Linked DNA regions of Medicago truncatula. The main gene of each other region encodes a partner of the protein of the gene in region 2 in a complex. Links are inferred from orthologs where the notes say so. Each region holds a gene or a part of one and is shown on either strand. Other genes may lie near its edges.

Region 1 (8,081 bases), on a different chromosome or scaffold from region 2:
GAAAGAGTGTTATTGTAGAGAATGATAAATTCATGTGTATGATTAAAATATTTTTAATTTTAAGAATATTGTGAACCAACCTCTTCAAACTATTACGATTACTCCTTCGAGTTGCTTTTATTTTCTTTTACAAAAAATTATGTTATTCTTTTAAAAAAAAAAAAATACTAAATCGACACCGTAGTAGCAGGCAACATTGGACTAACCTTTAAACCTCATCATTCAACCGCCAGATTGAATAGTTCGATAAACTAGGTACAAGTTCTAAAATCAGATCCAGATCCTATAACCAAGTATTATATATATTTTCAACTACTATTGTGACTAATGGAAGCAAAATATGTGGATTCATGAACGCAATCGTGATTCCCTTTATGAGATTTTATTTCTTCAAGTACAAACATGGTTTACCACAGGGAAAATAGCAAGAAAATCAGTCTGTATAAGTCTCTGGACAAACATTCCAAGGCAACTTTGAATCCAAAAAATAGAAAAACATGAAAGAACATCCCACACAAGCAAAGATTCCTGCCAAAAGTTTAACTGCATCCAAATATAACATAACATGGATCAGAAAGCAATCAGGAAATGCACTTAAACCAAGGTGGACACCATGAAGAACAGGAAAATAACACACTTAAACCAAGGTGGACACCATGCTTAAAAACTGAGACCTCCTGGCTTATACCAACTATTAAGCTTGCAAAACATTAAAATTTAAAAATAAAAAGATTCATTTTTTATCACGTATAGTGCAGAAAGAGCCTATATATCATCAAAGTTACCAATTCATCAAACAGTCCAGTAGAAAGCACATTCATAAATAATTAAATATTACCTTCAAGCTGCAGAAATACAAGTGACAAACAGATTTACAGATTCTGCAGTATCCTCAAGTCACCTATTCATTGCAGTATTTTGTGGCAAATAATTATTTATTTGTTTTGAAAATACTTTAATTTCTGCTACCACTCACAGCTTTTAAAGTTGAGGTTTTAAGGTATGTTTGGATGGAGAGTTTGGGAGAGAAGAGGAGGGAAGGTAGAACTTCATTCGAGGCCTACCATCAAATTTAAAGCAAATGAATTGGGTGATATCCTTACATTTTTTTGGTGCAATTAATAATAAAGCTTGAGTATACAAGTACAAATTCATCAACGTTTGTTTCAACAAATAATTGTTTTACCTCTCAATATAATGTTCTCCTATAGTCCAAACAAAGACATCATAATATTTTGTATATACAGTTCAAAATGGCACTTTTATTCCTCAAAGCCAGCATTGGATCTCATCTGCCTGGAGCACAATGATAGGGACTTGGGTATTATGGGGTGCCTAAGTCCCACATGGCCACATTGAGTAGTATGGGATGCTTGATGGCTAGTTTGTAAGGGTGGGTGGGTTCCCCAAGTTCTTAGATACTTATCACATTATTGCTCGTAATCAAGCCCAAGTGCCTAAACATAACTACTTGCATTGCTCAAAAGGCAGGGCTCTCATATTACTTTTCAGCCACGGGACTGACTATAATTTATATTAACTAAAATCAATTAATGTCCAGTCCACCTAAAATATATTTACATATACCCCAGGGTTAGACAAGGTTAACATTGCCCAAAAAGCAACGGGTTTACACTGAGGAATGGATTCCCCTGTTCGCAATTTGCATTCCCTTTCAAGCCATTTTAGGAATCTGAGGATGAAGAAAGTATTGTAACAAGGAAGCTTGGAGAAAGAGATAAAAAACCAAATGGGAACATATTATCAAAGATAATCTGTGAGATACACCAATGCTCTATTTATAGAGCTTATTAACCACAAACCAACAAACAATATTGGACAAGTGATGTCTGCAATGGCTACAATTAAAACAGAACCATAAACAAACAATATTGGAGGCAAATCACAAGTTTGCACAAAATCATTGTGGTCAACCAAAGCGCATATCAACCGAAGAACAGTCTCAAGAAACTTGATTCCAGGCTCTACAAAGCGGAAATTATTGAGACGTGGTTAATTCATCTAAGACCTATTCTTCATGCTACCAATGTTATGATTCCAACACTCGTCAAAGAACCAGGGCTTTTTCAAAAGATAAGAACTGACATACACTTTAACAAATCCATCTTTATAGCCCTCTTTCAAATGTTTACACACAAGTGACATAACGCTCTGATGATGGCAGCCACAACAGACCAATCACAATTTATCAGACACGTATGAGGGCATTATAGCATATGCCATTTCAAAAGAACAACACAACTCTTAAAATCTGGGTCAAGCATAACTTAACCCTTACAAAACTGGCTTTGAAGATGAGGACTACCCAAGACATATGACAACATTTTGAGGCCACTTCACATTCAATGTGGGACCATTAACACCCACCCCACCCACACACCATTCCTCACGCCCCGTAAGAGACACAAACTATAAAATTAAAACAAGATAATGGACAATTAGAAAAGTTACCATTTCGGTTATGATTCGAGGCAAAACAATGATACTTTGAACCACACAATTCCTTTGTACGAAGCAGAACAAAACTCATAGTTTGTCTTTGCTATTTATAAAGCACACTACCGGTTCTGAGCTCACAAACCCAATTACCATTCAAAACTATACAGTTCTAAGAAAATGCCCCAAAACTAATTAAGCAAAACCCTAATTTATCAATACAACAAAACAAAAGGAATATACACAAATTTATCACCCATAAAATAAAAAACATCAATTTCCTAACAGCGAAATCTAATTAATCAAACATAAAAAATAAAAAACCTCAATTCCAATTGAAAGGAGAAAGAAGCTTACATAACGAGAGAGGGATCAAGCATTGGCGGGTTTAGGGATGAGAGGAATAGCAGCACCCTGACCCTGGGTAACGGGTTGTTTGGAATTAGCATTTTGATTTTCGCGGATCTTCTGCATCTGAAGCATTCTCTCCATGACGAGTTCGTACTCGCACTTTTCATAAGAGTGGCGTTCATTCTCGCACTTCCATGGAAGATAGAATTCAGCTTGTCTGCATTTGTTGAGAGGGATGAGCAAATGAGCGCATTGATCTCTGTAAGCCAATGGAACCCTAGCTTCCACCATCTCCTCTTGTGTTGCAATCATCTTCTTCGATGATCCTTCAAATTCCATCTTCGATTCGCGAGATTTCAACTCTACCAATATAATTGTTGATTGGATTCTCTAATTGCTTTGCTTTGCTTCGAATTGAAATGAAAAATTCCCAGCCGCAGGGTATTATTATTATTGTTCTTCAGTCAGATAAATATTATTTCATTTTCTTTAAAACAATTTTTTTTTTATTTTTTCATGTTAAGTATGTTTTTAAAAAAAAGAAAAATGTTTCTAGTCCTACAAAATTACAAGCTTGCAAGTTTAGTCCATGCAAAAAATTTATTCATTTTTAGTCCTTATTTGGACTATTTTTGAGAACTAAATGTGTCCATTTTTTTCTAAAAAGTTTTTAAAATATCGATTATTTTTACAAATTACATTATCATGAAGACTAAAATTACCATTAAAATTTTATAGGGACTAAACTTAAAATTTATGATTTTGTAAGGACTAAAAACATATTTAAGGTCAGTTTAGATAAGGCTTATTTTGAGTTTATATAAAATAGTTTATGCAAATAAATGAGTTTTTTATATTATTTATAAGTTTGTCAATGTAGTTTATAAAAAAACAGGTTATGAAGATACAATTTTCGTTAATAAAAACTAATAAATTAACATGAAAGCTTATTTATTTGCATAATTTATTTTTAATAAGTTCAAAAATAAGTCAATTCAAAAGGGCTCTTAATCTTTTTTTTATGGCTAAACGTTTTTAGATTTCTGCCAACTTTTGTTGTTGATAATTTTTTTTTGGTATATTGTTGTTGATATTATTAACAATATACTATAATATAATAAGTTGTCAAAAACTGTTAAAATATTTTTTTTCCCAATTTTATATTTTACATAAAATTCATTTTGGTTATCAGCAAGAAGAAAAAAATCATTTTGGCCATTTATGTTTTGTTTTGTTTTTTTTACTAAAAATAAGGTTATGTAACCAAAAAAAAAAATCAGTAGATTATATCAAATATAATACAAGTTTATAGTGGTATTGACTTGAAACCTGAGAGTGTGCTCATCCTTAAGGTTTCAGGTTCGATTCTCTCTGGTGTCAATTTGAAGGGGTTAGTTTAGCTTCTTAAAAAAAAAAAAAAACTGAATTTGCAAACAAATTCAACATTCAAGTTAGTAGCATAATACCACAAAAGTGCCTGCAAAAGTGATAAAATTAAAGTGGTTGAAGTATCCATGCCTCTGAATTTGTAGTGTTAATGGTCAAGTCAACATAGGTTGAATCTATTTTGAGTCGAAATTGATCTAGCAATATGAAGGAAACAAACACCGCAACAAGACTAAAGAATTCTAGTTTGATAGTGCTTAGAATGTCTCTTTCATATTGAGCAATTTTGCCCCTTCCCGAGCCCCAACTCTAAAAAGGAGGGATTAAACTATGCTGCAGTAGACGACGAACAAAACAACAATGTTATAATCAGACAACGAAATCACAAAAATAACTCAAGTCCATGTGAATAACACTTATTCAGATAAAATGAGAGAAAAAACAATATATAGAGGTGATTGAAGGTCAAAAACTATTCAATATCGCATCTCTCCTATAATGTAAAAGTACAAAAGTTAAAATATAAGATGAAGTTTATCTTGCTAAAAAATTAGGTTGGGCTTCAAATTTTCTTGACACAAAATCCACTTCACATACAAGGTGCCAATAGTTCACCAATTTTTTTTTACCAGATGCCAATAATTTTTTATGATGTTGATTGTATTATAGTCGTACGTGTGGTCATCTAAGTAGATTGCATGAAACCCTCTCAATCCATCAATTCTAATTCTCTGAAATGGATCATCTCCTTCAAGTGCAAGAGAAGGTATGAAAGAACAAATGTAGTTTTTTATTTTTTATTTTTATTTTTTATAGAGAATGGAAATTGAAGAGATAGATAGAACGGAGAGCCATGGCCTTCAAATATGGTACTATTTCATTTTTTTTTTTGTTGCTAAATTGCATTTTTGGTCCCTTAACTATTTAGGTAGTATCACTTTGGTCCCTTAATTAAAATCCGATTTATTTTGGTCCCTTGATTTCTCTCTGTTACACATTTTAGTTTTTTTCGTTAGTTTTAATTCAAAAACGTTAGATTTTCTTCATCTTCTTCTCTTCTTTTTCATCTTCATATCATCTCCATCAACCTTCAACAACAAGAATCCCAGAAAAATTTCAGAAGAAAATGAATAAAACCTAACGTTTTTGAATTAAAACTAATTGAAATGACCAAAATGTGTAACTGAGAGAAGTTAAGGGACCAAAATGTGTAACTGAGAGAAGTTAAGGGACCAAAATAAATCGAATTTTACTTAAGGGACCAAAGCGATACTACCTAAATAGTTAAGGGACCAAAAATGTAATTTAGCCTTTTTTTTTTTTTTTTTTTTTTTCCTTTTGTATATTTGTTTATTACACGTGAAATAATGAGTCATTTATATGATATGTTTTTTGTTATTGGCCCCTTACTCCTTAGTGTCTCTTAGTTATTCCCACTACTAACAAATCTCTGGCTTTACCACTTATTGCAATTGTACTCATATATGTGGATTATTTATCGCAATGTCATAGACCTATATCAATTATGAAGTTGAGTTGAGTACGAATCTCAACTACACTAACCATTAGCAAACATATTAACTTTAGGGCATGTTGCAAGCAACTGCCAACAATTCTGTTATTGGTATTAGAGTGACACAAATTGAATTCATAATAAAAAAAAGTGACACGGCTTTTCAACCCCAAAAAGTGCTTGTCTCTCTTGATAAATTGTTGTTTGATCCTCCTGTTTGGTTTGTCTTCCAATTTGATTTTACTTGGTAGCATGTAAAAATATTTTATACATCGGAACTCAGTGAAAGTGTTGCTATCGCCTCCTTCGTAAAATTGTTTTCTTTTCAGCGAAGAACAAATCTTGATTAACATTTTAGAGAAAACTTGTGAAGCAGTTTACAAGCTGGGTTATTAGATGAGCATAGTAGCATACAACCTTGGATAACACATATTGAAAGCATATGTAGTTATGTACCATAGGAGTAGACGAACATTAGAGCTCAAACATGACTGACTGCAGAGATAAAATTCAAATTATGGAAATCAGCTTTTGATATAGGAAGCACAATGACTGACTGCAGAGTTTATGATTATTGCCTCAATCATAATCATAAACTCTGTTAATGAAGGGAGAAGAAAAAACTATTTCTAGCATGACTGCAGGGATAAAATCAAACTATGTTGGATGGAAAATTTTAGAATCAACAAAAATTCGCAAAAGTCTGTTTATTCAAATAAAAATTATTTAATCAAAAAAATATATAAAGAAAATTTCAATCTTATTTGACAACAATTTTAAAATGGATTCATTAATGCATTTGTGTACATAAGGATTTCAAGAATGTCCAACTTATCAGACAATATATGTCACTCTTATCTAAACTGCTCTTGTAGTTGTAGCAGTCTATGAATAACAAAGTATGATATCATTTTTGTACAACTATAAAAGTTACATAAGGGTAGTAGGGTTCAAAGGAGGTATGCCTTCACAGAGTACAAATATTTCTTACAGAACATATTTTTGTAATAAAAATGATATAAATATCTGATGAGAGAAAGCAAATGACACTAACCTTTCCGGTTGCATTCAACTCATATATACTTGGTAATTTCCCATCACTTACACCATGCCTGTTAACACTTCATTGTCAATATACCAGTGACTGACACCGCCGTTTCAGAAAGCCATGCTCTCCTTGGTAGAAAGGTTAGATCCATGTGAATTAATTAAGGTATTGATCTTAATGGAATATGCCTCCAATATGTGGATAAATCACACTATTGGTTAAATGACATCAGCCTCAGGTAGGCATAAAAATTTCAATTATTGCAATTTATACCCCGTTTGTGTAACACATTGAACTTGGAGCTGAGCCTAATGTAGTAAACAAATATCAAAGATTACAACCCGATAGATGGGTTTACTCAACTCCTTTCTCAACTTGGCGCAAAGTTTGTAAGGAACCAATTCAACAATAACATTCAACATTCTTAAACTATGAACATGGGATTTCATCCAACTCAAGTATTCAACATATCTTACAAACTGAAATTCCATTGATATTTCACACTGCAGTATCAGCTCGGATACATGCATCTTCAAAGCGTTACTATGTAATTTTTGGATATCTGGGAACAGAACACGCTTGTCATCAAAATGAATTCATTATGAGTTCCATAGAAACTAGTCAATGACAAGGAACATACAATCATCATATCTTGTTCAGTGATTCCATAAACCAACTAGAAGTAGCAACAAAATCCAACTACTCATAAAGAGAATGTGAGAGTAAGTGGTTGTGGAAGGACTAAGTGGCGCACAATGATTTGACAACCTTAAAACTTGGAAAACTGTTTCGGTGAAACCGCAAACATGGCATTAGCAATCGAGAAACTTGTAAGATAATGAATGTGTGAGAAAAACACCGGTAGTCAGTATTGGCAATTGGGTAGTAACAAAGTGCATTCAGGGAAATTGGATCCCAGTTCACCACCTTGGAACTCCATGCTGTCAAATATAATTAAAGTTACGTGTTTCCTACAAGACCACCATTTATCTCCATCATAATTAACACAATGGCAGCCAACAAGTAATAGGCACTTCTCCCTCTATGAAGGAAATGCCTCAACCCATTTTCGATAGAACTTTCATGTTTGTGGCTAATGTTGTTAACTTGACATCACACTCTATAAGAACACGTCCAGTTCACATATTGCTAACCTCAACTAAGCTGTTAGCAGGTGTTTTTCGTAGTCCAACCTCATTTACCATATTCCTGACTCTCTCTGCATCTCTCCACCTTCCTACAGCAGCATAAAGTTTTGCTAACAGAACATAATTTCCCGTGTTTTCTGGTTCAAGCTCAAAAGTCCACCTAGCAGCTATCTCTCCC
Region 2 (7,874 bases):
GACGGTGAACAAGCTCGCTGGTGGTGGTGGTCAGATATGAAACTATCGAAGGAGGAGATACGTGTGATGGTCGCAGGAGGCGGTGGTGGTCGGATCTGAGAGCATCGGAGGAGAAGAGACTGTGACTGGCGAGTGCTCAGGCGGCGACAGTGAGAATAGTGATGACCGTGGTTGCGGTGGGTGAGATGGATCTTAGAAGAAGGTTGAGAGGTGGTGGTGGTGGGGCTATGAACGAAAATCAGAGCAATGGCCGGAGAGAGGAGCAGCGGTTGGTTGGTGATGGTGGGAGATGAAAGAAAGGAAGCAGTGGGGGGAGGGAGAGAAGAAAGAGAAAGAGGAAAAAGACAAATAAAAAACAAAAAAATACCGTATTCTAATATGGTGTCTGTATTGTGTTTGAAAATTTGTGTCCATTTATCATTCCTGTTAACTAAAATAAAAATTTCAAATTAACTTAATTTACATTAACGTAAATTGAACATAAGAAAACTTAATTTACATTAACCTTGAACATAAGTAAACTTAATTTATATTAACCTAAATTGAACGTAAGTAAACTGAATTTACACTAACCTAAATTGAACATACGTAAACTTGAATTTACATTAACTTACATACGTAAACTACACTAACCCCTTTTATATACATACACGTAAACTTAATTTACACTAACCTCTCACTTAAAATCAAATTGAGAGGCATATCTCATACCAAAACAAACAATAAACAAATAGAAATTCATCGAAAATGAAATTCATGAAATTCGCTAACCTTTATGAATATAGTACAGATCAATAACAAAGATGTTGATTCAGATATTGGTTGCACATCTATGGTGATTTGTGGATAAAAGGAGGTAAGAGTTCAGAATGATCATAAAAGATAAGTTTTTAAAAATTTACATGAAGAGACAATTTTGATATTATTGTAAAATTTTAAATAAATTTAAATATAACATTTTTTTTTTGGTGTGACTAGCACCGGTGCACAAATATCTAAATTCCAAATTGCAAGATCAAATGACAAAAGCACACGTATATAGCCCACTGTTTCAGTGTTATTCGGTCCTACTGTTTTCCAAACCAGTATCTTTTTCTTTTCTTCCCTTCACAGTCCAGTGTGTTACTTCACAGTTCACACACACGTCTCTTTTTCTTCTTTTCGTCTCACAGACCACATACATTTGCTATTCATATACCTGCATCTAACAAATCATCATCATGCACAAGAGCGGTTCTGGTTCGACGTTAGGCCCAGACGGCCTAGATTTAACCCAAGCTTTCTTCAAACCCATCTCAAACGCAGCACCACCATCACCCACTAAGCGTCACAACAAGATCTCCGTCATCGGCGCCGGCAACGTCGGCATGGCCATTGCTCAGACCATCCTAACTCAAGACCTCACAGACGAGCTCGTCATCGTCGACAACAAACCCGACAAACTCCGCGGCGAAATGCTTGATCTTCAACACGCTGCTGCTTTCCTCCCCCGCGTTAAGATCAACTCCTCCGTTGAATATTCTGTCACTGCTGGCTCCGATCTCTGTATTGTCACCGCCGGTGCAAGACAGATCGGTGGCGAGTCTAGGCTTAATCTTCTTCAGAGGAATCTTTCTCTGTTCAAGGCGATTATACCTCCTTTGGCTCGTTACTCGCCGGAAACGGTTCTGATCATCGTGTCTAACCCCGTTGATGTTCTTACCTATATCGCATGGAAGCTTTCTGGGTTTCCTTCTAATCGGGTCATCGGGTCGGGTACCAATTTGGATTCATCTCGGTTTTGCTTCCTCATTGCTGATCACCTCCAGGTCAACGCTCAGGATGTTCAGGTCATTCTCATTTTCTTTTTTCTCTCTATTTTTTTTTTTTTACATTGTCGTGAAGTACTAGATTCTGTTGTGATCTTGCATTATTTTCATGATGACATGTTAGATGATTTGGAGTTATTTAAAGGAGTGAATTACTATTTTCGACCTCTAGGGATCAAACAATTAGTGTCAAATAACAAATTAGTTCCGGTGACACCGAATCAGACATGAAAATTGTTTGAAACTAACACAAACACCAACATATGTTGCCTTTTGGAGTAGAAATTTTTAGAATTCTTTGTTCTCATTGAGACGATGACTTAATTGGTGTCAGTTTGACATAAAAACAAGGGAAAAGAAGTATGCTTAGACCAATTAGATTAGCGTCTCAGCCATAAGAACGAGAAGGACTGCAAAGTTTAACTTCCGAATGATGTCTTCAATCTTCATTAGAGTAGTTTCAAATGATTTTTAAGTAATGGTCCATTGGGGACATAGAACTTGCCAGTTCATGAAATTAAACAACACTATAAATTGCTGAATAGAGATCAATATAAGTTATAAACAAATTATTAGATACATGCTGGAGCTAAATGTCATAACATGTTAACTCAATATTTCTGATCTATTAAACGACAGAATGACTGAATTGATTGACGATCTTTAAGTTCAAGGACTAATTTTCATTTCGTGTAATTTGGGACCAATTGTCTAGTATTTACAATTTTGAGGATGATCTAAATGTTTATTAATTCAATGTTGTTTGGAATGAAAAATAAAAGTGATGACTTTTTGATGATTTCTGTGGTCACTATAGAAAGGGAGAAAGTTTGAAGTGTGAAATAAAGTGTTATTGGTGCAGGCATGCATAGTAGGGGAGCATGGGGATAGTTCAGTAGCATTGTGGTCTAGTATCAGCATTGGTGGTATTCCCGTGCTGAGTTTTTTGGAGAAACAACAGATTGCATATGAGAAAGAAACACTGGAGAATATACACAAGACTGTGATAAACAGCGCTTATGAAGTCATCAGTCTAAAAGGCTACACTTCATGGGCCATTGGGTACTCGGTTGCTAGCTTGGCGCGGTCCATTATCAGGGATCAAAGGAAGATTCACCCTGTGTCTGTTTTAGCTAAGGGCTTTTATGGCATAGGTGATGTTGAAGTGTTTTTGAGCTTGCCAGCACAGCTTGGAAGAGGAGGGGTGCTTGGTGTAACGAATGTGCACATGAATAAAGAGGAGGAACAAAGGCTTAGGGATTCTGCTAAAACTATCTTAGAGGTTCAGACTCAGTTGGGTATTTAATTGTGTCCATCCAACAGACTCACTAACTATGGTTTTGTTAGTCTTTTACATTTCCCATGGTGTTCTTCCACTGCAAGTGTTTTTTGCTTAGTACTTGCTTGCATCCAAAATGGTCGCTGAATTCAGATCTTGTAATATGTGTGTGCTTTGTAGTATATGATTTTACCAGTCAAATTTCAAGTTCTTTGTAATAATATTACTCTTTGTTCCTCTTGTTAGTTCACCACGCAGGGTAGTTTAATGCAAGAGTGAAACATAAATTTTGTTCGTTGGACTTGACTTCTACAATATCGTTAAGGTAAAGAAAGGAATTATATTTATTAATGAACATAAATAAACTAGAGTAATTTCAATAATTTATTATAGATGAAAATATGGATGGCAATATTACGCTTATCCAAAAAGAAAAAAGGATGATAATGTTCCAATTCTGATTACTCATTTGAAGTATATTTTACCATATTGTCTCGTTATGGAATAGAGTGAAAAATGTAAACTATGTTTTCTCTATTGGTAAAGAGAGTGTGGTATTTTATTTTTGACAGCCATAAAGTTTATTTTGGAAATGGTTAAATATATCACTGTTCCAAGCTTAAGTAATGCCAAGAGTAAAACGAGAGTTATGCATATCAGTGTCTTCTACACCAATCAAGCTGCCCAAGACACGAGAACACAAACAAAATTAACCATAGCACACATATGCCACCATCCAATTGAATTAGGAGAATAATTGACTAAATACAAATAATTGATTGAGCCAAAACCAGGAACACTAGTTTCTATTTTTTTTTAATAGCAGCTGTGTAGATTCCATAAACTCCGTACAAGTTGCCTAAGCCACATAGACCCTATTATTATTTTTCCTCATACATTCCTTCAATCTCATGCTACTTCCTCTAAATGATTGTAACAACTAGCCAAATCAAGCTGCCTAAACATAAGAGAAAAACCAGACAGCAACTCAAACTATTAAAAGCAGACAGAAAACCATAATTTACTCCCTATCACTCTCCATTGTCCTCCCTGCAGACACGTCATTGCTAGAATAATTAAAACCAGACCTTTGTTTTCATCTTGCACCACGAAGTAATTTTAATCTAATGATATCATGGTGTTACAAAGAGGGTGAAAAAAAAATGAGATATAGCACAAATTTGGCATTTTATAATTTTCAAATTTTTGTAGTGCAATATTTGTCCTTTTACTATCCATTTTGATTGATTGATTAATTGTATAAATTATGCCGTTACTTGTTCGTATGTAGAATTGTCGTAGTTCTCCGCATTCTTGAACATTAAATAATTAAATGTATGCACTATCAAATTTATTTATTTACACAATAAATCTAGTCATTAAACACTTCATTTTCTCGTTCACGGTAAGAAAAAGATACTTTACAAAGGAGAAGGGGTGTAGAAAGAAATCAAAAAATGTAGTAGCAAGCCCAACTTACAATAAAGGGTAGAAAATCCAACCCACTTTAATTATAAAAAAAATAAAATAAGAAAAGGGATATTTTTTTCCAAAACGAAGTCGTTTGGCCTGTGATTGCAGTAACATAAACATTACGCAATAATCAAACAGAAATTAAACAAAGAAGGAAGAGGAAAAAGAAGAAGAATCGAAGCAATAACCATGGCAGGTAGATTGACAAACGTAGCATCACAAATCTTAGGCGGAAACGGCGTCGTTCACCGATCTGTAGCTTCATCTCTCCGCCTTCGCTCCGGCATGGGTCTCCCCGTCGGCAAACACTACGTCCCTAACAAACCCGTTCGTTTCTCTTAACCTAACCTATTCAATTCAATTTTCTTAGAATCACGAAAATTAACCTCAATTTTCGAATTCTGGTGATGTTTTTTCAGCTTCCGATGAATGAAGAACTTACATGGGACAATGGTACTCCATTTCCTGAACCTTGTATAGATCGCATTGCTGATACTGTTGGAAAGGTAACTACTTTTCACCATTTAGGATATAAGTGTTGTAATGTGAAATATGCATCAAGTTGATGAATTTTTGGTTTGAAATTAGTATGAAGCATTGGCGTGGCTTTGTGGAGGATTGAGCTGTTTTGCGGGTTTGGGATTATTGGCTGTGTGGAATGATAAAGCTTCCAAGACACCATTTGTAAGTTAACTTGCTCGCTCTTGATTTTTGGGATTTGGTTCCATTTTGTTATGTATTTTCTTATTCTATTTAGATCCTTTGGGTGCACTGTATATGGTTAATTTGTTATCATTCTCTGATAGTGGCATTGGTATGAAGTGATTGACATCGAAAAGCTTTATTAATGAATATGATATAAGAGATAGAATTTGTGCTAGACATATAGACATGCTCCCAAGTAAAAAATATAATGTTAAATTAATGAGTTTTATAAAAGTTATCAAAGTCATGGCCTAAAGGCACAATTTCCATATACCAAAAGTAAAAGGAAAATGATGGAGTTAAAAAAGAGGGTGCAAGTTTGAAGAACTTAACACAACTTAGAAACAAAAATTTAACCAATATTGTCAACGGAAGAATGTCAAAAACCTGCCATATAAGCATGCCATTGCGGCCGTTGGCACCATCATGACGGGCACCCCTTCACTGGCTTCACATATTTGCTTATGGAGGTTGACAAAAAATCCACCATCACCATGCGATTCCTCCATGGCCACCATTTAACAACACTGAATTTAACAGAGACATGTGTGAGTGGAGGTTTATGGGTGAATAATGAGTAAGTAGTGTTCCACAAGTAATAGGTGTGCTGAAACAGGGGGAATGAATGAACAGAGACCTTTGGTGGAAAACACTGCTTGGCTAGAAGCGATGCCGATGAGTAGTTGGTTATTGGTTGGTTTGAAACAAAGGTCAGCTCAGCTTAGCACAAAGGATGGGTGAATGGTTGGGTTGAAGGGTTTCAAACTCTTATGTTTCTGGTGCCTAAAATCGAGGGATATCAATAAAGTGTAAAATTAGGATTGGGAAACTCAGATAGTAGTTGAAATATATGTATTTTTACTTGTGTTCAATTTTGCGCTACAATGCGATGGACACCTTACATTGGCCTTGGGTAGGTTGGGGTTTCCACTCCAGCACTATAGTGGATTCCATGGGTGCCATTAACTAGTCTTTTATCTTGTAGGTGGGGCACCTTGTTTGATGCACACTCATAGAAGTTCAATATGTTGAGTTACAACACAACTTTTTAATTTGTTCACTATTTGGTGGTTGATGCACAATGCACATGATTGTTGTTTCAGGTGAGGGAAAAGGTAGAATGGATTGAGGAATAAGGGTTTGGGGGAGTGAAGGAGACTTAAGAAAGTGAGCAATTAAGATAAGGATTTTTCTAAGATAATATTTTGTGTGAGACAAAACCTTGTCCCCTGAATAATCAAGTAACAAATTTTATTTTATTTTGTCATGTGTTTCATCTTTTGTTTTCTTCTGTCTCCTGACTAATCCTAAAATAAAACATGGAACAAGTATTATTGTTTTATCTTCATTATTTAGAAAATCAAATGCATCCCAAGGTTGTCAAATTCCTAGGTTTTACCTAGGACTGACTGGAAAAACAGTAGACATGTAAAATAGGATATCTTAATTCTTAACGTAGAAGGTGCAATCTAGCCTATCATACACAAGAGTTTGTAAGAATAAGAGTTTCAAGCTGGAGATTGTAATCAATGAAAATGAGAGATACATATTATTTATATAACGATTTGCATATTTATTTATTCTAAGTAGTAGGTGAGCGCACTCTTATGTCGTAATCATGCCTCACAATGGCACCTGAATTTATGCTGTAGAACTTAAAGTGACTTGCTGTGATAGTGAATGATAATCTTTTCTCAACTACCATTTCAACCATTGGTTGTTAAGAGTGTGATCTAGATTGTGAGATTGTAAGATTTAATGTGTTTTTCTCCCTCCATTGGGAGCGGCATAAAAATTGTTAGAGAGGCCGGAGCAGTGAGCGCGCAGAGGAAGATCGTGGAATCGAGGGAGCAATGCTTTCTCTCATGCTGGTTTCACACATTCTCGACCCGATTCTCACGTGGTGACCCGAGTGAACAGTTTTTGACCCGCAACAACATGCACATTTACAACCCGGTTCCACACGTTTTTGATTCAGAAGTTGACCCGGTTCTCATTGCAAAGAGGGATACACTGAACATACACTTTTTTTGGGACAGTGTGGGTTTTAATTGAGTAATTACTTCCCAATTTGGGAACTTCTCATCTATGCAATGCAACTGTCATCTTTGCAATTATCATTCCGTGGTGGGAATTAATAAAAAAAATTCTATTGTTGATGTTTAGGTCAAACTCTCATCTTTTCTTTATGATTAAGTCAATAAAAAAATTGTCTTTTTTTTAGGATAATTATGTTAAGTTTATTTTTCTTAGTTATTTCTATAATTTTGTCTCTTTGATGGGATCTTACGATCCTACAACCTACGCTCTTTTTATACCCAAATGAAGTTTGACAACCATAATTCCAAATAACGTGTCCCTTAAAGCATCCACCAGCCCAGGTAAGAAATGTATTATTGCAGCACTGAGAAGCGCAAGGCCCTGTAAGCAAGAGAATTGCAACATCCAGTCCTCCCAGCACCTAAGTAGCAGCTCTACAATCTGGACATTGACCTGGGAATTGTAAAACTAAATTTCAAACTTTCAGTCGAGCTCATTGCAATACGTAGCAACCAAAGGCAGATATTTTGTTTTGTCGGTTCAGTCTCTCTATAGCATAGTTGAAACTT

The links.
Region 1: the proteins of NADH dehydrogenase [ubiquinone] 1 beta subcomplex subunit 8, mitochondrial (region 2) and NADH dehydrogenase [ubiquinone] 1 beta subcomplex subunit 7 are in contact, whole or in part, in a cryo-EM structure (PDB 8BEH), measured with the Arabidopsis thaliana proteins. The link is inferred for Medicago truncatula from reciprocal best matches to the Arabidopsis thaliana genes AT5G47570 and AT2G02050. Residues at the interface, in NP_568684.1 of Arabidopsis thaliana: Ser103, Lys104, Val105, Pro106, Phe107, Thr108, Pro109, Arg110, Tyr112, Pro113, Tyr114, Leu117, Glu120, Leu121; in NP_565280.1 of Arabidopsis thaliana: Met10, Ala12, Thr13, Gln14, Met17, Leu24, Gly25, Arg27, Asp28, Met29, Arg69, Met70, Ala72, Met73, Ile76, Arg77.

What each region holds. Positions count from the first base shown.
Region 1 is NC_053042.1:54,626,441-54,634,521, forward strand, and holds NADH dehydrogenase [ubiquinone] 1 beta subcomplex subunit 7, read right to left. Parts: upstream 3,265-8,081; 5' UTR 3,148-3,264; coding exon 2,830-3,147; 3' UTR 2,815-2,829; intron 544-2,814; 3' UTR 287-543; downstream 1-286. Other genes in the region: pentatricopeptide repeat-containing protein At5g39350, read right to left, coding at 7,895-8,081. UniProt on the Arabidopsis thaliana protein: Accessory subunit of the mitochondrial membrane respiratory chain NADH dehydrogenase (Complex I), that is believed not to be involved in catalysis. Complex I functions in the transfer of electrons from NADH to the respiratory chain.
Region 2 is NC_053045.1:49,707,335-49,715,208, forward strand, and holds the start of NADH dehydrogenase [ubiquinone] 1 beta subcomplex subunit 8, mitochondrial, read left to right. Parts: upstream 1-4,667; 5' UTR 4,668-4,749; coding exon 4,750-4,887; intron 4,888-4,979; coding exon 4,980-5,066; intron 5,067-5,148; coding exon 5,149-5,244; intron 5,245-7,874. Other genes in the region: L-lactate dehydrogenase A, read left to right, coding at 1,221-1,829, 2,671-3,114. UniProt on the Arabidopsis thaliana protein: Accessory subunit of the mitochondrial membrane respiratory chain NADH dehydrogenase (Complex I), that is believed not to be involved in catalysis. Complex I functions in the transfer of electrons from NADH to the respiratory chain.